5 linked regions of the Ovis aries genome follow. The main gene of each other region encodes a partner of the protein of the gene in region 2 in a complex. Links are inferred from orthologs where the notes say so. Each region holds a gene or a part of one and is shown on either strand. Other genes may lie near its edges.

Region 1 (4,052 bases), on a different chromosome or scaffold from region 2:
TCCATTATGAGCTGAAATAATAAAATGTCTAAATGTTCCCATTTAAAAAATACTCCTTGCAGGACACATTCCCAATTTACTGAATTTTCCTAATTTTCTGCCATAATGTAAGAATTTTCTTTTTGTAAAAGACTCATAAAGGAAAAGCAAAACAGAAATGTTACCTTGCTAACATAAGGTTGGCATTTGGATTGCTTGTCCCTGGCCCTGTTGGACTCCATTTGATAGTATAAATTTCTTTATTATGTGCTTGCAAATCATGGACACAGTTGTCTTGTTTCATACTCCATATCTAAACAAAAAGTGTGTGTAAATTAGCTTTCCATACAAAGGATACATTTATAATATGATCTAGCCAGTCCAAAATATGTGGCATAACCATAACAATAATTATAGAGATCAAGAGAATATATGCAAAGAAATTAAAATGTAGTAGAATTTATTTAATATTTGTTTTTTAAAAATGACAAATTAGCTTCAAGTTCATTCTAATAATCAGTATTGTGAGGCTTCAGGATTCAATAAATTGTAGTTCTAAGATTATTTTTGAAAGCTTCAGATGGTACAAATATAAACATTCAGTAATTTCCTTGGTAGTGATGCTACAATATTTAAGGCATTCGTTTTTATGCTATCCTTTAAAAATAAAGATATACATTATAAGTTCCTCTTAGAATTCAGAATTAGGAACTATATGGCAATGGGGAAGGGAAAGTTGATAAGGAATATACAGATAATACAGTATGATTCATGTTGACACCAAAGGATAGGCAATAAAAGCACGAAAAATAAAGGCAAGAGGGACTACATACAATTACAACGTTTCTGCACAGCAAAGAAAACAATCAATAAAGTAAAAAGGCAACAACCTATGGAATGAGAGAAAATACTGCAACCCATATATCCAATAACTTTCAAAATATGTAAGGAAATCCTACAACTCAAAAGCAAAATACTAATTTTAAAATGGACAAAGGACTTGACATTCCTTCCAAATCGACATACAAATGGCCAACAGGTTATATGAAGAGATGCTCAATGGCACGGATAATCAGGGGAAAGCAAATCAAAACTACAATGAGATATCACTTCACAACTGTTAGATGGCTACCATAAATTTTAAAAATTTTGTCAAGAATATAGAGAACTTGGAACCCTTATAAACTGCTGATAAATGAATACAAAATGGTGCAGCCATGATGAAAACCAGTATGGAGGTTCTCCCTCAAATTTTAGCAACTATCCCCATATGAACCAGCAATTCCACATCTGGCTACATATATATAAAACATATAAAATGAAACCAGGCTCTTGAGGTGGTATCTGTACTCCCATGTTCACTGCAGCATTCTTCAGAAAAGCCAAAATATGGAAACAGCCTAAGAGTCCAACAATGGGTGAGTGGGAAAAGAAGATGCGCGTGCACGCAGTGGAGCACATTCAGACTGAACGTATAAGGAAATCCTGCAGTATTCAACAGGACAACATGGGTACATTTTAAAAACAAACATTGCATGATTCCATTTACATGAGGTATCTAAGAATCAAACTCATAAAAGCAAGAAAAAAGAATGGCGGGGATAAACAGTAAGGTCCTATATAGAATATAGCACAGAAATCATACTCAATATCCTATAATAAACAATAATGGAAAAGAAAAAAAGAATGGTGGTTGTAAGGAGTTGTGGTGGAGGTGGGCTGCTATTCAAAAAGTATAAAATTTCAACCCTAGAGGAGATCTGCCATACAACACTGTGTTTAGATAACAATACTGTATAGTACATTTTAAAATCTGTTAAAAGGTAGATCTCATCTGTTCTCACCATAATAAGATTTAGAAATTTTAAATGATCCATATAGAAAAAAACCATTAAAAAAGCAATAATTAAAGTTAAAATGGTAAGCAGAAAACACTTTTCTCAAGTTGAAAACATGTTTATTATGCAATACAGATTAAAAACTCGTACTGTTTTTGAGCAAAAGTTAAGAGAAACCTGTATCAACAGTATTTCTGACAAAATCACTCAATAAAGACAAGATGGAAAATCTTGCCCCAAACAAACATACACCAAACACAAGTGCCAACAAAGAAACAAAAATCAGCTGGGATTTCACACTTCTGCAATGAAACTGAGATAACGAAACAGTATCATAATGTTCTGTATTCTGCTAAGTCGCTTCAGTTGTGTCTGACTCTGTGCAACCCCACAGACGGCAGCCCACCAGGTTCCCCCGTCCCAGGGATTCTCCAGGCAAGAACAATGGAGTGGGTTGCCATTTCCTTCTCCAATGCATGGAAGTGAAAGATGAAAGTGAAGTTGCTCAGTCGTGTCCGACTCTTAGCAACCCCATGGACTGAAGCCTACCAGGCTCCTCTGCCCATGGGATTTTCCAGGCAAGAGTACTGGAGTGGGGTGCCATTGCCTTCTCCAGTTTTATATCCTAGGTATACATAACTCCATGTAAATATGTGCAAAAGATAAGTTTCTAAAACGTATTTCATGCCAGCTTTCAATAGCACTGATACTACTGACCATTCTCTTCAACACCTCCTTGAAATATTCTTCTCTACACATACATACTATTTCCACTGAAGTCATTCCTGCTAGGTTTTCTCTTGGAACCTGATTCTTCTTAAAGCAGGTAAATATTACAGAGTTTAAGACTTTTAAAGCTTTCTTCTTCTTTTACTTGATACTTTTTACCTACACAATTTTGTCCACGCCCATGGCTTTGAATGACCATCCATCTATTGAGGATTCCCAAATGGTTACATCAAACTTTGAGTTCTTCTCTGAGCCTCAGACCAACCTGGCACTTCCACTTGCATGACTCAAAGGCACTATGCAAGCGAAGCATAATCTTCTCATTTATCTGCTGTTCCTTCTTCTCAAAGTATGGCTTCACTAGACATTATCCATCCTTATAGCTTCTGCTTTAAAATTCTATGACCGTTTATTATTCTTGGAACAACAACAACAAAACTCTCTAACACTTTCTAATTCAAACATATCTCTTGAACTGCAAATCAGTAGCTGAGAGTAGCCACTGGCCTTCTTTCATTTCCTTGTATGTACCACACTCTGCTCCCAAAGAAGTTTTTTGCTCTTTATTCATTTTATAAGCATAATGTATGTGCATGCAAGGGTGCCAGGTGGCACAGTGGTAAATAATCTGCCTGCCCATGCAGGAGATGCAGAGACGCGGGTTCAATCCCTGGAGTAGGCAATGGTAACGCACTCCAGTATTCTCGCCTGGAAAATTCCACAGAGGAGGCTGGTGGGCTGTGGTCCTCACACATGACTGAGTGAGCAGGGGTGTGCACATGCACGCACGCACACACTTGCAAAGTACTCTCGCAAATGCAAGTGTGAAGAAAAGCATTTTTATCAGCAATGCTTACAGAGGAGTCCAGACTTGAGAAAACCTAACTAAAAGCATAGCTGGTATTTAAGGGAAAAAACCCCACCAGGTTACCAAGGTTACATTTAATCTGTTCATGGGAAGAGGAAAAGCAGTTTTCCTTCATGATTATCCTATCTATGAAGGTTATCACGTTTGTAGGCAGTGGCATTGTAAAATCAAAGGTAAATTATTTTTAGTAGAGCTAATTTGATGAAGTATACAGCTCAAGCTTCATTAATTTTGAAGATTATTATATTTTTCTTTATCTCAAAAAGCTTTTCTCACCCCTTAATTCTGGTATGTGATATACACAGGGGCTAGGTGCTAGTTTTTGCTTTTAGTTATAAAACAAGAAAAATGTAAACTCATATTGAGATGTGAATTCTGACATGTCAACTATGCTCATTCACCGATTAAGCTATATATCCACTACACATCAGTTTCCGAGCAAAGGTGATATATATCCACACCACAGCAAAAACCCAATTAATACACTGCTCAGAATATCAGTCAAACCCATGAATCCTACAAAGATCTTCATTAATTACCTGTGAGTCAGATCTTTACATGAGCAAATAACCTTTCATTGTACCAAAATATGACTCATTACTAGCAAAGGCAATTTATAATAACACAAATCTTAGTAT
Region 2 (4,052 bases):
AATCATGGTATCTAAAGTAGTTTCTCCACTGTTATCCCATATCTTAGCTTTCTATCTTTTTCTTCCATAGAATTTATAACAATCTACCTATCTTGTTTGCTTACTTATAGTTTTGCCTGTTTCCTAGGCTGAACTGTAAACTCCATGGGAGTTCCCTGACTGCTTCCCCATCTCCTAGTACAATGCCTGGAACACAACAGGTGCTTAACAAAAACCTAATGTGAATGTTGCCAACTGGGGAACACTGCTCAAGATGACATTTCTGGTTCAAAGTACAACATGCAGCTACTTTTCAGTCCCAAAAGGAGGTGAGGGCTGTTTCCCAGCTACCCGTTCCATGTATTGAAGCCCAAGGCCACTTGAAAACCTGGAAGAGTGGAAGGAGAGCAGTTCTCACCCGTGTCCTCGAATGCTGAGGTTGAAGCAGCCCAATCGATCACAGCCCAGAGAGTCAGCTCCACACTGCAAAAATCAAAACCCCAGGTGGCTACAGTGAGAGAACTACTCAGAATGTCACCGATGTCCTTCACTTCCCTTCCCCCACCAGCCTAGGGATTCTCCTCTTTCCTGCTCTCTTCCCGTAAGCCTGAGTGCCTAAGGAAGCACGGACAGTATTACCTGGAGCACAATGCACGTGGGTTGGTAGAAGTCCACCACCTGGTTGATAACTGGCTGGAAAAGGTGCTTGTAACCTGGGAGAGGGCCAAAGATGGGCACCTGGCACCCCAAGGGGATGGGGAGACAGGGAACAAAAGGAAAAAGGGGGTTCAGAGAGCGTGTAGCCCAGGAAAGGGGCAACCCAAAGGGACCACTATTGGTTCCAAACTTCTAGGTGGGGAAGTTCATGAGACTTCTGGAGGGACTGATGGAAGCTAATGACCTTTTTCCCAGAAAAATGCACATACACACAATATGTTGCATACAATTTCCAGGGAGTTCATGGTCCCTCTGAAGGCCATTCATCCTGAAGGACACCTGGCCCAACGGTAGACAATACCAGGCAGAAGAGGTTAACTCAAGGAGGGAGAGAGAGAAGGAGCCTAGTGAGCAGGGAGAAGACTTTAGTACGTACTCTGGTCATCAATGCCGTCCCGCAGGGGTACGTTGAGGCAGTAGTAGCGGCCACTCTCTGCTCCAACTTCATACATGTCACCTGTGGGGGAGAGGGGTTGGGGGCGCCAGCTGCTTCAACCCCACCATGTACTCTGAGGGCCTCTCACTCCATCTGTGTATGTCCGCCACACACTCCCTCAAACCACTAAGTCTCTTGCAGCTTGCATTCATTCAACAGATACTCCTGGAGGGCCTACTATGAGCCAAGCTGTGAACTAGGTATGGGGATACAGCAGGAAAAAGAACTAACGAAATAAATGAAATCCCACCAAGCTCATATTCTTGGGAGGTAGGCATGATTAGGTGGGAGACAGTAAACAAAACAAAACCCCACAATAAATTCAAACAGCAACCAGTGCTTGAAAAGAAAAAAGCAGAGTGATGTGACAGGGTAACAGGGTGATCAGGGAAGGTTTCTCCAAGGAGGGGCCACCTGAATTGAGACCTGAGCTTGCGGAGGAGGCAGTCATGGTAAGAGCTGAGGAGTATGAAGGGGACAGGCATTCCTATTTCCATACCTGTGCCAGGGAAGAAGTAGTTTCCGTATTTGTGGAAAGATACTGTCATGACTCGGTCAGTGAGGTAGAAGGCTTCCTGAACCCCGTCGCCATGGTGGATGTCAATATCAATGTAGAGCACCCGAGGGTGGTACCTGGGGTGAAGGCAAAGCCAGCGTCTGAGGCAGAGGTGAACCCCAGGAGGAAAAGCCCCCAACCCACTCCTCCCAAACACAAGGCCAGAAATTATGAAGAGTCTACTTTGGCCCAAGTCACCTGAAACCTAATACCACCAGTTCCCTAAGGGCAACCCTGGGGCTCCAGCCTGGAGGCAGGGACAGGAGAGGGATGTGCAGAGAAGGCTGAAATGTGAGCAGGCAGCGGGGAATCTGCAGCAGAGCACAGGAAGAGGCAGCCTGAGAAAAGCATCAAGAACTTGGGAGAAGCTAGTGTGGGGCTGGAGGTCAGGGTCAGGGTCAGGGCCAGGGCAGTCTCAGACCTCAGCCAAGAGCCTCGCAAGTGGCCCCATCTCCTCCCGGGCTACTTACTTGAGCAGCTCCAGGATGCCAATCACAATGTCATTAACATAGCAGAAGCCAGAAGCCTATGGTAAGATAGTATAGTGGTATTACAAAGAGGAACAATTCCTCCACCCAGCCGCCCCCTGACTGCCATCCTGACCTCCTACCCTAGCAGAGCTGCTGTCTCCCCCATTACCTCCTCACTCACCTCAAACTTCTTGGCGTGGTGCAGACCACCAGCCCAGTTAATGGCAATATCACAGATCTGAAAGACAAACGCCCAACTCATAGTCCTTTTCCTGCCCACCCCCAAAGCTGGGAGCTCAGGATCATGGTTAAGGCCTTGGATTCAGGGACCCACAGGAAGGGGGAAACAGGACTTGGGGTACAGCTACCTTGTTGTTCAGCTGGGTTGCTCCTTGCAGAGATGCGCCTGTGTAACGGGAGCAGAATTCAAACAGCCCGGGAAACACGGGGCTGCAAGAAGAAGAGCAAGTTGGAGCCCTTTTTCCTCTGTCCACTTCCTTCCTTCACCTTTCTCCCCAGCCCAGAGCCCCGTAGTCTCCTTTCTTCAGTAACCCCGTCTGCCCCTCCTACATACATACCCAAGTTATCTGCAAATTTATTCAACAAATATTGTGGACGAAACCACATACTGAAACTTGTTCAAGGCACTGGATGGGAAGTAGAGAAGCGCAGTGACAGTAGTGCTAATTGCACCAAGAGCATTCACAGGGCCCAAGGCTGTGGCCTGAGGGTGGACTTTACATTCCCAGACCTATAAAGCGAACTCAAAACTAGCAGGAGCAATAACACAAAAAACAAGAAAGCTCCCAAGACAGCATGTGCCTGAACAACCCAACAAGCAGGGCAGTGTGTGCGGGACAGACCTCTGGGGCTGGTGTGGTCAAGAAAGCCTTCATGGCATGAAGCTTTGTGGTGGCTTGAAGGCTGAGAAGGCCCTGGAGAGGCTGACTGGAGAACAAAGGGTATTCTGAGAAGACACCCTGTGCAGCAGAGATGTGGGGATAAGGTTGGGAAGGTGCTCAATGCCAACCTAAGGAGTCGACCTCAATCCTCCAGCCGAGGCTGCTTCTATTGGAAGGCTCTTCAGGGAAACCAATTGGTGTAGTGTTTAAAAACCTAGCCTCTGGACCTGAATCCTGCCACTGCCACTGTTCAGGCTAAGTTATCAAAATCTCCTCAAATTTCAATGTATGTACTTAATGCTTACCATCATGAAAAGGACTATTACATCTCAGGGTTGGTGTAAGAATTAAGTGGATATACCAGTAATCCTCAGCACAGCAGAGTAAATTACTCAAGAAACTGTAGCTGTTGTAGGAAACTATAGGATCAACAGCCTCATTTCTTCAAAAGATAAATTCAAGGAATTCCCTGGCAATCTAATGGTTAGGACTCCATGTTTTCACTGCTGGGGGCCTGGGTTCAATCCCTGGTCAGGGAACTAAGATCCTTCAAGCCAAGGCATGGCAAAAATAAATAAATAAATTCAAGGGCGAGAAGGAAACATTAAGGGTTAAAAGTCTTATGAGATGGAGTGTGGACCTTGTTTAAATCCTAATTTAAATAAATCAACTGAAAAAAAGAAAAAAATGTGAGACAATTGGAGAAATTTAAGTACTGACTGCATATTTGATGATATGAATTACTGTTGATTTTTCAGGTGTGATGAATACTATGCATTTTTTTTAAAGAGTATCATTTGGAGATATATAGTAACATATTTATAAACAAAAGGGAGTGACATCTCAAATTAGCTTTAAAATAACCTAACGTGCGGGGACACAGATGAAGCAAGATTAGCCATCTGGTCTAAGTGCTGCAGCTGGGTGATGGATAGACGGGGGTTCACTGTATTTCTACTTGCAGAAATGTTTAAAATTTTCTCTAATAAATA
Region 3 (4,696 bases), on a different chromosome or scaffold from region 2:
AAACTTCAGTATCATTATTTTAAAAGCTGTACTTTTTAAAAGAAATGCTTATTCAGCTGTAGTAAAACACCAAACACTTCTTTACCATAAGATAACTTCTTGTAAATAACAGCATTACACTCATCTCTCCTATAATTACTTCCTTAGGGGAAAGTCCTCAAAGTGGAAGGCTAGGGGCAAACGGAAGTTAGGACCATTTTCATGGACTTTTGGAACAAGCTGCCAGATTGCCCTGTAAAATTAAATGCTACTGGAGAATCCCTATAGCTTTACCAGCATAGAGTTTTATCCTTTTACATTTATTTCTGCTAATTTTGGAATAAATAGAGTACTTTCATTTACTATATGGTATGTGTTTTCAGACATACACACAAGGCCTGGAATAAAGATCTCTGGGCTTGGTTGCTTGTCTGCTGTGTGATCTTTGACAAGTCACATCCCCTCCAGGGACAGAGGATATCTATCTGTAAAATGACGGGGTTGAATGAGATGATTTTTTAAGATTCCTTTCAGCTTAGATATTTCATAATTCCATGGTGCATTTTAAAATTATTGGCCTAGGATGACTGTTTAATACCCAGGATCTGTCATACCTCTAAATCAAGGTCCAAACAGCTTGGACTAGTGGAACAGGAAAACAAAGCCCGGATTATACGCAGGTAGAGACGACAGGAGACACAGGGAGCACTTAAGCCTGTGCGAGGGAGCTACACTTGAGTGACAGGACAGATACTTAGTCTGCTTTTACGAGGGAATAATAACACTCATCTGTGGTCTAGCCTCAAGTCCCGTGCAGCTCCTCCATGGCCAGAAGGTAAGGTCGTGGTCACGCTACTTCAGCCTGAGAGTCCCAGACTTGCAGTCAAAGGTAGCTCACCCTCAGCAAGTGCTTGGCCAACCTCTGCTCACACACCTCTGAGGACCCAGCGGGCACCCCCTGCCCCAGCAGCCCTTTTTTTGGCTGTAAGAAAGCTCCCAGGTGAGGGACAGGTCTCGTGGGAGGACAAGGGAGACCAGAAGGCCCAGACCTGATGCTCTGAACCTGCTCCCTCAATCAGGGCGGGTGACAGGAGAGGATAAGGTCCGGAGAGAGGCTCCTCTGGCTCCTCTCACTCCAGACCTAAGGCAGCTGCTCACCTGCAGGTAAATCCTAAGGAAGTGGGTTGTGAACAAGCCCCAGGCTGACTACTGCCCCCTCTGGGGCAGACACCTCAGCTTCCTGGTCCCGCCTTGGCTCTCTTCAACTCCAACAGGAGAAACAATGTTGGATGTGGGGCTGTTTATCCCTGAGGTGAACTGGCTTAAGGGTCCAGATGACTACCCCAGGTTGGGAGGCAGGGAGGAGTCAGATGTTGTCTGTGTGCTCAGAGCAGGACTAGCAGATCCTAGCTCTGTTTGCAGCTAGTGAGATTCCCATAATAAGGGGTGTGCAACTGGGCAGTAAGACCTTCCAGAGGGGATCTGACCAAGGGGCTGGGCCAAATGCCAAGATTCTTCTTTACACAGAGAGTCTGGAGCCACACACAGTCCCTCCGACACCTGCTCTGTCCCAGACCCAACCCCACCCAGACATGGCTCTCCCGGTGCTGGAGCCCCTCTGGGGTCCATGCATGGACCTAGCCCTATCCCAGCAGGCTGGGACACCGAGCTGAGCGTCAGCACCTGGTGGGGAAAGGAAGGGAAGGGTATGGGGAGGGCAGGTTCCGCACCATTCCCTAAATCCAGGTGCTTGCACAGGTCTGGTCTAGGCAAGTCTGGGGCCAAGGCCCCCACTACCTCCAGCCCAGGGCTCCCGCCGCCCCAGACCGCGAGGTAGACTTGGCTGGCAGACTCTGATGGCTCCACCCTGCATGCCCAGGCCGGCTCCACAGGGACCTGGGGGGTGTCCGCTCCCCCTGCCTATTTCTCGTGCCCGGAAGCTGAGGTCCAGCAGGTTTCTCAGCCAGGAGAGGGTCGAGTACCACACGGGTCCCGCGAGGCACCCAGGCCGCTAGCGGGGGGCGGGAAGGAGGCTGACGGGCACGGCCAGCCACACCCAGCATGAGCTGCGCTCACTCCGGGTGGGCTGCGCAGACAGTGCCCATGCGGGCCCCGCGCCGTCGGGAGGCTGGAGCCTGAGGCGGCCCCTACTCTAACAGTCAGGCGAGGAACGTGCCACCACTGCGCCGGCTATTCCGATGGGGAAACTGAGGCCTGGAGAGGAGCAGTGCTTTGTGCAAGGTCACGCGGAGGGGCTGGAAGCCAGGTCCCCCGCGCCCCGCCGGGTCCCCCGCGGTGCGCCGAGCCCCAGCATCCCTCCCCATGCGCTGCAGCCCGGAGGCGCAGCGCGCACACATCGCACAAACCGGGAAGGTATGGCCGGCGGCCCGGGGCCGCCCTACCTTGATGACTGCCGCGCAGGTGGCGGTGGCGGTGGCGGCGGCGGCGGCGTCCAGCTCCGGCTCCGCGCTCTTAGCCGCCTCCGAGTCCCGGAGCCCAGCGCCGCCGCCTCCTCCTCCCCACCGAAGTCGGCGGGTGGGGCCGGTGGGCGGGGCAAGGGCTAGGCACATGCCCCGCCCTCGCGCCCCGCGAGTTCGGGGGCCACCCCTCCTTTCTCGAGCCCTTGTCCGCGCTCCTGGCCCCCGGGACTGGTCCCGGAGCGCGCACACGCGCGCAGAACGGGCGCGCACACCCGCGTGCACACGCCGCAGTGATTGGGGCGGGCTGCCCGGCTAACCGAGCCGAGGCTGGGGACAGTCATACTCGCCTACCTTCGCGCCCCGCCGCTCCCTCGCCGAATGGCTTGGAACAAGGGACTCGACCTTCCGGGAGCCTCAGTTACGCCCCTGATGAAAGGGAAGCAGTAACTGTGTCTGCCTCAGAGAGCTGTTTGAAAATTAGATGAGACGATCTAATTTACCTGCCTGGTGAAGTGCGTGCGCAGAGCCGACCTCGGGAGCAGCGCTCTGTGAACCTGGGCTGGTGGAGTAATTCCTTAGGCTTCTCAGTAAGCCTGCAGGAAGAGGGCGGGGAGGACCCGGAGGACGCCCTTCTTTCTCTCTGTGGCCAGGAGGGGGCGCTGCTGCCCGTTCCCGCCGGCTATGGGGTTTTGCACGCTAGGCACTGGGACAGAGATGGGGGTGGTCCAGCCTTTTAGGAATACCATCAGCTAGCACTTAATGAGCCAGGCACAGTTCTAGGCACCTTCAATGCATCACCATAGTTTACATCACACAAACCTATGAGGTTACCTGTTACTCATCTATTTTACACATGAGGAAGCTAAGGCACAGAGAGGTTAAGTAGTTTGCCTAAGATCACACAGGTAGTAATTCAACCCTAGGTAGAGTGGCTCCCAACCCCAAGCTTATAACTACACTACCACACCACCTCTCTTGAGAAGAGCTCTTTGTTTAGTGGTGTATCTCTAGGAGCTAGAACAGTACGTGGCTCAGTAACTGTTAATTCACCTCAACGTCTTAATTCGCATAGTGCCAGGGCCAGTAACTGGTGCACTCCCTTGCACTGTCACACATCTATGCCTTTGTTCACGCTGTCCCCTCTGCCTGGAGTTCTCTTCCCTCACCTCCTACTGTCCTTCCTTCCAAGGCCAGTACCAACGTCCCTCTCCGGGAAGTCTTCCCAGATTCCAGTGGGTGTGACCTCCCAGCGGTGTATCTGCCTCTTACCCCTCTGTGCCATGATAGTGGGTGGCTGGGACGGCGTTTGGGGACAGGCTGGTTGACAGAGGCCTTTCTGGGGGGCCTGGGCATATAGACCGGTGGGGAGGCCATTGGTGGGCTCTGCAATAGACACACCCTGGGACTCTCCCTAGAGATGCTGTGTAGGTGTGCTCCTCCTCCCCTGCCCCTTCCTTCCTCCTAACACTGATCCATCTGATGAAGACCGCCTGCCCAGTGGTCACGTTTGGTTGTGAGAGCTGAACTGTGAAGAAGGCAGAGCAGCAAAGAATTGATGGCTTCGAACGGTGGTGTTGGAGAAGACTCCTGAGAGTTACTTGGGCAGCAAGGAGAGCAAACCAGTCAATCTTAAGGGAAATCAACCCTGAATACTTGTTGGGAGGACTGATGCTGAAGCTGAGGCTCCAGTATTTTGGTCATCTGATGTGAACAGCTGACTCATTGGAAAAGTCCCTGATGCTGGGAAAGACTGAGGGCAGAAGGAGAGGGTGTTAGAGGATAAGATAGCTGGCTGGATAGCATCATGGATGCAATAGACGTGAACTTGTGAGGGACAGGGTGGCCGGGCATGCTGCAGTCCATGGCGAAGCAAAGAGTCGGACTCAACTGGGCAACTGAACATCAACATCTGCTGACTATCTGAAGTGCACACATGGGGAAACTGAGGCCAGAATGGGAATGACCTACCCAGGGGTCTCTAGCTAGGAAACACACAATAGGTCTGGTCCCAAAGTCTTCTATTGGGCCTTACTGCTGATTGAGATAGGCCAGAAATCCAACCCCTTCCTGTGTCAGCATGGCCTTTGTTCAATTTGCTGTGTGTTGGGACTTTCCTGGTGGTCCAGTGGTTAAGACTCTGTTCATCGAAGGCAGAGGGTGCAAGTTTCAACCGGTGGTTGGGGAACTAAGATCCTACCTGTTGTGTGGTGTAGCCCAAATTTCCTTTTTTAAAAATTAACCTGCCACATGTGGGTAAATGTCTTCTGGGTGACCAGAACCTGTGTATGTGTGCAGTG
Region 4 (4,604 bases), on a different chromosome or scaffold from region 2:
AATCTGGAATCAGAAAGCTGTGGATTCTGGCAAATGGTCCTTGTGCCCTTCCCCAACTCTTACTTAATCTGACCCCTTATTTCCTCCATAGCCCTCTATCCCAAGCACCACCCCCACAGACTGGGGACCAGCCCCCTCCCCTGCCTATGTCTCTCCCCATCTAAAGATGGGGAGGGAAGAGGAGGAGAGGGGAGGGGACATGCCCCCTCCTCAGGCATCTGGGAGGGCCCTGCTCCCATGGGCTTCATCCTTTCCTGCGGGCTCTCTCCCCGACACATTTGTTAAAATCAAACCTGAATAAAACTACAAGTTTAATATGAAGTCCCCAACTCAACTGCTTTTTTGAATTAAATGGGTATTTATTTGGAAATCTGAAGAGTACAGGTTGAATGAACTCTGCTGCTGAGTTCATTACAACCAACCCTGCTGTCGCCCTGTGATTCCTGCCAGCCACTGCCCACCCTCTTAAACAGTCCAGTGGGAGGCAACACAGACAGCAGCCAGGGGCAGTGGCAGGTAGATTTTATTGGCCTGGTACTGGGATACCGGGGATCCTCCCCAAGGGCAGGGGTTGGGGTCAAGGCTGAAGATAAATCTGATGGTCACTTGTGGTAGAATCGTGGATTCTGGCTGTGCTGGATGAAGGGGAGCCGAGGGCCAGGCTGGCTGGTGGTTGCAAAGCCCGACTGGCAGTGGTGATGAAAGGAGGGCCTTGTCAGTGTGCACACCCTCCTGTCTACTCCACACCAGAGAGCCACCCCAGGGAGGGGAAAGGAAAACGGTGCAATGCAGGGATTCTGAGGGACCCGATCACCACCCTTACCTTTCCTGCTGGTTGCATCTGCACAGGAAGCTGGGGTGAAGCCAGGAGTCCAGGGGCAGGATGCAGAGCTTGGGGATGCATGGGACGCAGGGAGGACTGCAGAGAACAGTGTCAGCAACTGAGGCAGCCTGAGGTTCCCCTTAGCATAGGCAGCCCTTGACTTTGCAAGGTTCTACTCACTGAGTCAGAGAAGCCAGTCTGCTGGTTAGCGTGTTCCATCTGCTTTTGTAAGGACAGGGCACCACCAGGCTGGAGAAACCCTAGGCGGGGAAGGAGTGTGAAGTGAATGGAGAAGGGGGAAAGGAGGAAGGTAGGATGCATGGAACTGGGCCCCAGCATGGGGTGTTCCCATCACCTGTCTGGGTGGGCTGAAAGTGGCTGTGCACGGCATAGGGCTGTGGCTGTGGCTGAGACAAGTACTGCACTGCAGGAAACGCGGAAGGTGCTGAGGAAGGCAGGAGGCCATTAGAACTTCCTTGTAGCCTGTTCAACACTCCTCCCTTTGGGTCTTGAGGAAAATTCCTCTTCCCACCTCACCTCTGAGCTGCTGACTAGGACTGTAGGCAGGCTGCGTGGGTCCATAGTGAGGTGGGGGTTGAGCAGCTCCATAGGCGCCACCCGGGCTACCTTGGAATTGCCCATGCTCCGGGGTCCCTGCGAAAGCAGCTGCTGAGCCCACGTAGTGCCGGGTCTAAGAAGGAAGGATGAAAACTCACTGCCTGTAAACTCCATGAAGCAGAAATTCAAGTGACAGCACCCCCATTCCCCCTATTCAGATGTAGACACACTCAAGACTTGAGTGCTGGCTGGTGAAGATGCTAGGGTCTGGGTGGAAGTAGGAAAAAAAAATTCAGCCTAGACACCCAATCTTCCTACTCTTACCGTAAGTACTTGGGGTCCAAACATCTGTTTGGCTCTGTCAGCTGCCATGAGGGTGCCTGGGCGATTGTGTCCTCCAGGGCTCCCTAGAGAGGGAGAGGGGTGCTTCATGATGTTGCAACTCCCAGGAGGGCCCATTCTGACCAGTAGTTTCTTAATCCTCACCCTGCATGCTGAGGAGGTGAGTTCCGGTGTGAACGGTCAGGCCTTGCTGGTATGCTGCTGATGTCAGAGTGGTCAGGTCACTGGAGCGAAAGGAAAGCGGGTCAAAGACAAGTCTGTCCTGTCTCCACCCCCACACACTTCCCTTCCCATTTGCCATTAAACACTGATCTTTTGTTACCTGATCCCTGTTACACTTTGGCCTCGATTTTATTTTTAGTTCTTTAATCTCACCTCTGCTCTTTTCGCCTCCGTTTTTCTTCCTCATGTAAAACTTTCTTGAGCTGCAGGAAAAGTTGATGCTTCTCTTCCTGTAGAGCTAAAAGCTTCTCCTGCAACTTCAGGATCTGGGGAGGGGAGAGAAGATGAAAGCAGGAGAGCCAAGAGAAGAAAGAAGTGGGAGAGATGGAGGGACTGCTTACTTGTTCCTTGGTCTCCTCTAGTGACATTCTCTCTTCCATCTCCTTTTTCTTCCTTCTCTCCTGCTCTTCCTTCATCTTCTGTTCCATCATCTTGTCCACTTCTTCCTCCTCTGAAATAAGAGGCAGAATGGGCAAGCGGCAGGGTGTTAAAATATTAGAACATTAAGAACTGAAGAACAGCAAAAACTGGTTATCCCAGTGCTCTGGAATAGGCTTCATCACTGTGAGGGGGCTGGAACGGGGAGGTTTATTAGGTGCTCTCCAAGGTCCTTCCCAGCTCCGGGCGTGGCCTTTTTTAACTCCCACCACCATCACCACGGGGCTAGCTGTCCCTCTGGCTTCGGCCGTCGTGCACTGGTCTGCCCGTGGGTGGGGGTCACCGTGGACCGCGGAGCGCCCGAACCGTGTGTCCTCCCGCTTTGAGCCCGGCTCACCCTGCCGCTTGCGCTCCCGCTCCATCATGATGTGTCGGTGCAACGCCCTGGCCATGGCGTTGGACAGCTTCGGACGCTCCAGAAGCGCAGGCATGGTGCTGCTGGGGACGCTCGGGCCGTGAGCGCCCGGCTCTGTCGCTGGCTGCCAGACCTCTGGCCGGGCCTGCGGGGAGGCGGCAGCTCAGTGGGAGCGGGCCGCGTCCAGGCGGAAGCCGCCGCCCGCCGCCCCGGTCACGTGCCCGCCGCCCGGCCGGGCCCACAGCGCGGCTCTTCCGCGTGCGCGGGCCTGGGTCTCGGTCTCCGTGCTCCCGCCCCTGCCCGCCACCCGGGCGCCCGCCCCACCCTACTCGCCTTCTCGTCGCTTTCTCTGTGGCCTCCCGAGCTGCAGGACCGCGGCGTCACATCCGGCCGCTGGGCCGAATCCTTCCGGAGTCGGGCCTCCGCGGGCTCGCTGGTTGGGCGGAGCGGCGCAGACGGAAGTGCCGGCGACGGGTGCTCGTGGTGTCCAAACCCCCGCTATGTGCCCCACGAGACTCCCCGACCCGGCCCGCCCAGCGGGCGGAGCCCCCGAAGTTGGCGGGGCCGGGGCTCCTCCCGTGGACGAGAGGCACGCGAAACAGGGGCCGAGGCGGCTGCTCTTAGACTTCGTTTATTGGCTCCTTATAAATCAGAGTCAGTAACAACTGTACAGAGGCCCGAGCCCCGGCCCCCGCCTTCCCCACTCCCGCCCGGGCCGGAACAGCAGCTTCGTTGGGGCACGAGGAGACGCCTCTGGGATTCACAGTAACCAGGGAACAGAAACGGAAATAAATTAAGTGTATGGGGGAGGAGTCGCGGGGAGTCATGCTCCCCAGATCAGTGCATGGAGAGGGTTTCCCGGGGTCTGCGGCCGGGCTCCCCACTGCGCCCTCACCGCGGAGGGAGGGACGTCCCCTTCCGGCCGGGGCACGGAGCCAAGCTCCGCTTCCCAGCTAGTCTAGGAGCCTGCCCACACGCTCCTGTGCATCTGCCAGGCTGAGCACCATGCATGTCGCGGAGCGCTGGAATGACCTGGAGGCAGTCATCATTCCGAGTCCACGGGCCGAGGCCCAACTGTGCTTGTAGTGGTGCGGCCTCGCCCCTCACTCCACCCGTACCAGCAGGGCATAGAGGAGCGTGGCCCCTTTCTCCTTGGTCACCCACTCAAGTTCAGCTGGGCTGAAGTGAGGATCGGGAGGCTCTCTGAGGGCCACAGAAGGGGGTCCCGGGGTGTAGGAGCCAGGGCGCACACACACCTGGAACGCCACCTGGGCCTGGTGCGTCCGCTGGGATTTGGGGTCCCGGAATCTGTCAGGTAACAAGCAGAAATAGGGCAGTGAGGCCTCTGGCCCCAGTACCTCTGCCCCTTGGCACCTGCAACCACCTCAATTAGCAACAGGCCCTGCTGTTCCTAGTAGTCACTCCTTCCTTACAGGGGCTTGGCTGCAGCCTCATCTCTACCTGAAATGGTCTTCCTCCCAATGCCTGTTCTACTGACTTTGTCCTGCCCAAGTCTTTGCTCAGATTCATCCTAGTGATATCTACCTGGACTACCCGATCTTGTGTGCTCCAACCACACTCCTGATGCACTTCACTCTGCTCTACTTTCCGCTTCCATAGTACTTACTTGTCACCTTCAAAAATACTAAATAACTATGGATAAACATTCTACAGCAAGAGAGGACATAACTTCCATGTGACCAGGGTTCCCTTCTTTGTTCTTTGTGATAGAACAAAATAAATGGAACTTGTACAAAGACTGTGAATGAAGAGCTGGCTGGAGACTGAGGAACCAGGGAGACAAGGTGGACAGGAGGGAATCATGGAGATCCATGTGGCCCTGAGCCCCCTCCCGTGTACTCACTG
Region 5 (4,052 bases), on a different chromosome or scaffold from region 2:
ACCGTGAAAAGGTGACTCTTAAGCTAGTTCTTTCTAAAGTCAGTTTTATTACAAAAGTAATGCACGTCCATCCATGCAGTGAGTAGGCCAAGCCACATGAAAGGAGACTGGCACTGTAGGCAGCCGGATTCTGTACTACATGGCAGAGTCAGGAGAAAGGACATGCAATATGTGGAGACGAAAGTCACTCTCAAGCCACACAGGACCCTGCAGGAGAGTGACAGGGTACCTGTGATGAGAAATCCATAGAAATGTGTCCCCAGAGGAGGCACCCTCTGTCAATCACCAGCCATGGGAGGACACCAAAAGACGGCTTTGTTGTGATGCAGCCACACAGGAAGTGTCCTCCAGTAATCAACTGCTGGCCTGAAGGGTCCCCTATGTTGTACCTCTGAAAATCACACAAAGCTGACCGCTGAGTGTGAGAATCTCTCCAAAGAGCTACTCCACTGGGCTGATGCAGCCCCCTATGGCCTGGTTTGGCACCACACGTCTCAGAGACTGACCCCAACTTGGTTCGGTGCCACACGCCTTGTGCAGCTACACACAACCACTCTGGAGTCACACCGCTTAGCTCTGAATCCCAACTGTGTGACCTTGGGTATGAGCGGTACTTATAATCTGCTCAGGTCCTCTGTCTCCCCTACTCTATGATGTGTCTGACAGTGACTGTGTGGATTAAACAGCAATAATGCCTATCAGGCACTTAGCAGGGTGCCTGACACAAAGTCAGTGCATGTTCAAAACTCTTGGTTATTATTATTTTAAAGAACCTTTTTCTAGCATAAGCTTTGGACTTCCTTGGTGGTCCAGTGGTTAAGAATCCGCCTGCCAATGCAAGGGAAAAAGGTTCAATCCCTGGTCCAGGAAAATCCCATGCGCCAGGGAACAGCTAAGTCCATGCGCCACAACCACTGAGCCTGCACGCTCTAGAGCCTGAGCTCCACAACAAGAGAAGCCTGTGTACCGCAACGAACAATAGCCTCCACTTGCCACAACTAGAGAAAGCCCCCACGTAGGAACGAAGATCCAGCACAGCCAAAAATATATAAAACTAAAATAAACTTTAAGAAGTAAAACTAGTTTTGAAGTAAGGCGGGCAGAATGACATTGGCTTTCTTACCACTGGAGTCTGTGTCAGAATCAGAGTCGCTGTCACTATCATCAGAATACTTCTTGTGTTTTCTTTTAGATGATTTTTTCTTCCTCCTTTTCTTGGATCTTTCTTTTGAATGACTAGACTTCTTCTTCTTCTTCTTTTCTTCTACATAAAATACAAATAAAAATTACTTCTAAAGAAGTATTTCTTTTTAAATTTTTAAAAAAAAACTTATTTTGTACTGGGGTATAGCCGATTGACAATGCTGTGATAGTTTCAGGTGAACAGTGAAGGGACTCAGCCATACATATACAAGTATCACAAGTATTTCTGAGTATCAATTTTATTGTATTTGAAATACTGAAAAGGAAATGATGACAGGCAATTTGAATACAAGTAAAGTGTAATGTTCAACTATTTATAAATGTATTTTTAAAAATTTCTCAATAAAAAGCTCTCAATTAAAAAAATACCTTCTGAAGTAGAAGCTGAACTGGTGCTTTTCTTTGGCTCTTCATCCTCTACTGGTGTGTGTTCATCAGAGCTGAATTTAAAGAAAACAGTAATAAGAATCAGAAGAGTGTTAAAGGCAACCTACTGAATGTTGTTGTTGTTCAGTCGCTCAGTTGTGTCTGACTCTTTGCAACCCCAGGGGACTGCAGCATGGACTGAATGAGAGACACCATTTGCAAATCATATCCGAGAAGAGATTAATAGTAAAAAAAAAAAACACGCAAAACCCAAAAAATGATGTGATTTTACACATAGGCAGAGGATCTGAATAGAGATTTTTTCAAAGAAGACACACAGATGGCCAATAGGTAATGAAGAGATGTTCAACATCATTAATCACTGGGGAAATGCAAATCAAGACCACAATGAGATATCACTTCACACCTGTTTGGATGAACGTTATCAAAAAGACAAAAGATAACAACTGTTGGTGAGAATATGGAAAAGAGGGAACACTTACACTGTTATAATATAACAGAGTGAGAATATAAAATGGTACAGCTATTATAGAATCCAGAATGGAGGTTCTTCAAGAAATTAAAAATTGAACTTCCATATCACCTAACAATCTCATTTCTGGATATATATCTGATGGAACTGAAATCAATATCTCAAAGAGATATCTGGACTCTCATGCTCACTGCAGCATTACTTATAATAGCCAAAATGTTAAAACAACCAAATATCCATGAATGTATGAATGGATAAAGGAACTATGAGAAACACACAAGCATACCCCACAGCAGAATATTATTTATCTTTAAAAAAGAATGAAGCTTGCCATTTTCAACAACATGGACAGCCTGTGAGGGCATTTGCTAAATGAAATGTCAAACAGAGAAAGATAAGACATGATCTCACTTATATGTGAAATCTAAAAAAGAAAAAACCACCACACCACAGATACAGAGAACAGAGTGATGGTTGCCAGAGTGCAGAAGGTGGGGGCAGGGCGTGGGTAAAACACAAACTCCAGTTATAAAATAAGGAAGTCATGGGGATGTGATGTATAGCATGGCGACTGCAGTTAATAATGCTGTACTGCATATCTGACAGTTGATAAGAAAGTAAATCTTAGAAGTTCTCATCACAAGAAAAAACTTTTTATAACTATATATGGTGATGGATGCTAACTAGACTTACTATGGTGATTATTTTGCAATATATACAAATATTGAATCATGTTATAACATGCCTGAAACTAATATTGTATGTCAAATATATCTCAAAAAATTATAGGGGGTGGGAAAAAATAACAATTTTTTAAGAAGAAAAAAGAACTTTCAGATAATAATGCTTTATCACCCTGTCACAAATTACAAGTTTACCTGTCAAGCACCTTGTCTCAACTCTAAAGAAAACACAGAAATAGAGCAGAGGGTAGATGCAGCTTCTGAATGGCACCAAAGAGAGAAAAGCCGCAGTCCATAGGGTCGCAAAGAGTTGGACATGACTGAACAACAACACAGAGGAAAAAAAAATAAGGAAAAGGAAAAAGCATTAGGCCTTTAATAATACTGAATACAGGAAACTAAACAGACTCAGTATATTCATTTTTAAAAACTTTTTGTAATGTTAATGTCTGACATTTAATCAGTTACTGGACTGAGAAAAAATAATTCAAAATACTATAAATGTATTTGTTTCAACACTGAACCCTTCTATGAATAGGAAATTAGCATCCCATGAATTACAATTTAAAGAGAACAATTAGCATGCTAAAATCCACAAGGAGCATGTTTTAATACTAAGGTATGTTTAATGTTTTTAAAACTCAAGGCACAGAATAGCATAAATCACAAGAAAGAGGGAAAAAAAGAGCTGTAGTTAAAGTTCTTCACTTAACAAAAATTTTGACCATAGACTCTGGATTTAAACAAATGTTGCATTTAAAAAATATATATATTTAAATTTTATTTTTATTAATTGAAGGATAATTGCTTTACAATATTGTGTTGGTTTCTGCCATATAAAAGATGCATTTTTAATCACTTACTCTGGTTCTGGATTCTTTGGAGAAAGTCCCCACACTTCAGGAGCTCCCAATTCTCCAATCCTCTCTCTCTCACTTAGTCTCCTAGAAGAGATAGGCAGGTAAACTGTTTCCTAAATGTATTATAAGATTCAAAGGGGTCCAGTCAAGTCCTGTTTTCCCTCTACATTTTAAACTTTAAACTAATAAAAACTTGGTTTAAACTCAGGAACTTCCCTGGCAGTCCAGTGGTTAAGACACTGTGCTACCACTGCAGGTGATACAGGTTTGATGCCTGGTTCAGATACTAAGATTCCGCATGCCACAAGAGGTGGCCAACTTTTTTTTTTTTTAAGTAAACTCAACATTAGGATCTAACTCAATATTAGGATCTAATATTCTGATGTATCTGATGTTCTATCAAATAGTGCAAACTACAGACAGCCCGATAGGCCTGGCCAGAGATTC

Evidence for each region.
Region 1: HDAC3 (region 2) and TBL1XR1 share a complex: the UniProt entries of both Homo sapiens proteins name them as parts of the N-Cor repressor complex. The link is inferred for Ovis aries from reciprocal best matches to the Homo sapiens genes HDAC3 and TBL1XR1.
Region 3: HDAC3 (region 2) and CORO2A share a complex: the UniProt entries of both Homo sapiens proteins name them as parts of the N-Cor repressor complex. The link is inferred for Ovis aries from reciprocal best matches to the Homo sapiens genes HDAC3 and CORO2A.
Region 4: HDAC3 (region 2) and GPS2 share a complex: the UniProt entries of both Homo sapiens proteins name them as parts of the N-Cor repressor complex. The link is inferred for Ovis aries from reciprocal best matches to the Homo sapiens genes HDAC3 and GPS2.
Region 5: HDAC3 (region 2) and NKAP share a complex: the UniProt entries of both Homo sapiens proteins name them as parts of the notch corepressor complex. The link is inferred for Ovis aries from reciprocal best matches to the Homo sapiens genes HDAC3 and NKAP.

What each region holds. Positions count from the first base shown.
Region 1 is NC_056054.1:210,758,593-210,762,644, reverse strand, and holds part of TBL1XR1 (F-box-like/WD repeat-containing protein TBL1XR1), read right to left. Parts: intron 293-4,052; coding exon 165-292; intron 1-164. UniProt on the Homo sapiens protein: F-box-like protein involved in the recruitment of the ubiquitin/19S proteasome complex to nuclear receptor-regulated transcription units. Plays an essential role in transcription activation mediated by nuclear receptors.
Region 2 is NC_056058.1:50,380,017-50,384,068, forward strand, and holds part of HDAC3 (histone deacetylase 3), read right to left. Parts: intron 2,609-4,052; coding exon 2,527-2,608; intron 2,397-2,526; coding exon 2,340-2,396; intron 2,215-2,339; coding exon 2,159-2,214; intron 1,766-2,158; coding exon 1,632-1,765; intron 1,154-1,631; coding exon 1,073-1,153; intron 693-1,072; coding exon 619-692; intron 463-618; coding exon 398-462; intron 1-397. UniProt on the Homo sapiens protein: Histone deacetylase that catalyzes the deacetylation of lysine residues on the N-terminal part of the core histones (H2A, H2B, H3 and H4), and some other non-histone substrates.
Region 3 is NC_056055.1:49,564,544-49,569,239, reverse strand, and holds the start of CORO2A (coronin-2A), read right to left. Parts: upstream 3,005-4,696; 5' UTR 2,751-3,004; intron 2,471-2,750; exon of another isoform or gene 2,382-2,470; intron 1-2,381.
Region 4 is NC_056064.1:26,910,083-26,914,686, forward strand, and holds GPS2 (G protein pathway suppressor 2), read right to left. Parts: upstream 3,127-4,604; 5' UTR 3,072-3,126; intron 2,884-3,071; 5' UTR 2,815-2,883; coding exon 2,721-2,814; intron 2,397-2,720; coding exon 2,287-2,396; intron 2,212-2,286; coding exon 2,099-2,211; intron 1,948-2,098; coding exon 1,868-1,947; intron 1,789-1,867; coding exon 1,706-1,788; intron 1,515-1,705; coding exon 1,361-1,514; intron 1,269-1,360; coding exon 1,179-1,268; intron 1,084-1,178; coding exon 1,004-1,083; intron 920-1,003; coding exon 737-919; 3' UTR 687-736; coding exon of another isoform or gene 603-686; 3' UTR 508-602; downstream 1-507. Other genes in the region: NEURL4 (neuralized-like protein 4), read right to left, coding at 3,842-4,046, 4,603-4,604. UniProt on the Homo sapiens protein: Key regulator of inflammation, lipid metabolism and mitochondrion homeostasis that acts by inhibiting the activity of the ubiquitin-conjugating enzyme UBE2N/Ubc13, thereby inhibiting 'Lys-63'-linked ubiquitination.
Region 5 is NC_056080.1:114,592,955-114,597,006, reverse strand, and holds part of NKAP (NF-kappa-B-activating protein), read right to left. Parts: intron 3,690-4,052; coding exon 3,609-3,689; intron 1,644-3,608; coding exon 1,573-1,643; intron 1,265-1,572; coding exon 1,124-1,264; intron 1-1,123. UniProt on the Homo sapiens protein: Acts as a transcriptional repressor. Plays a role as a transcriptional corepressor of the Notch-mediated signaling required for T-cell development. Also involved in the TNF and IL-1 induced NF-kappa-B activation.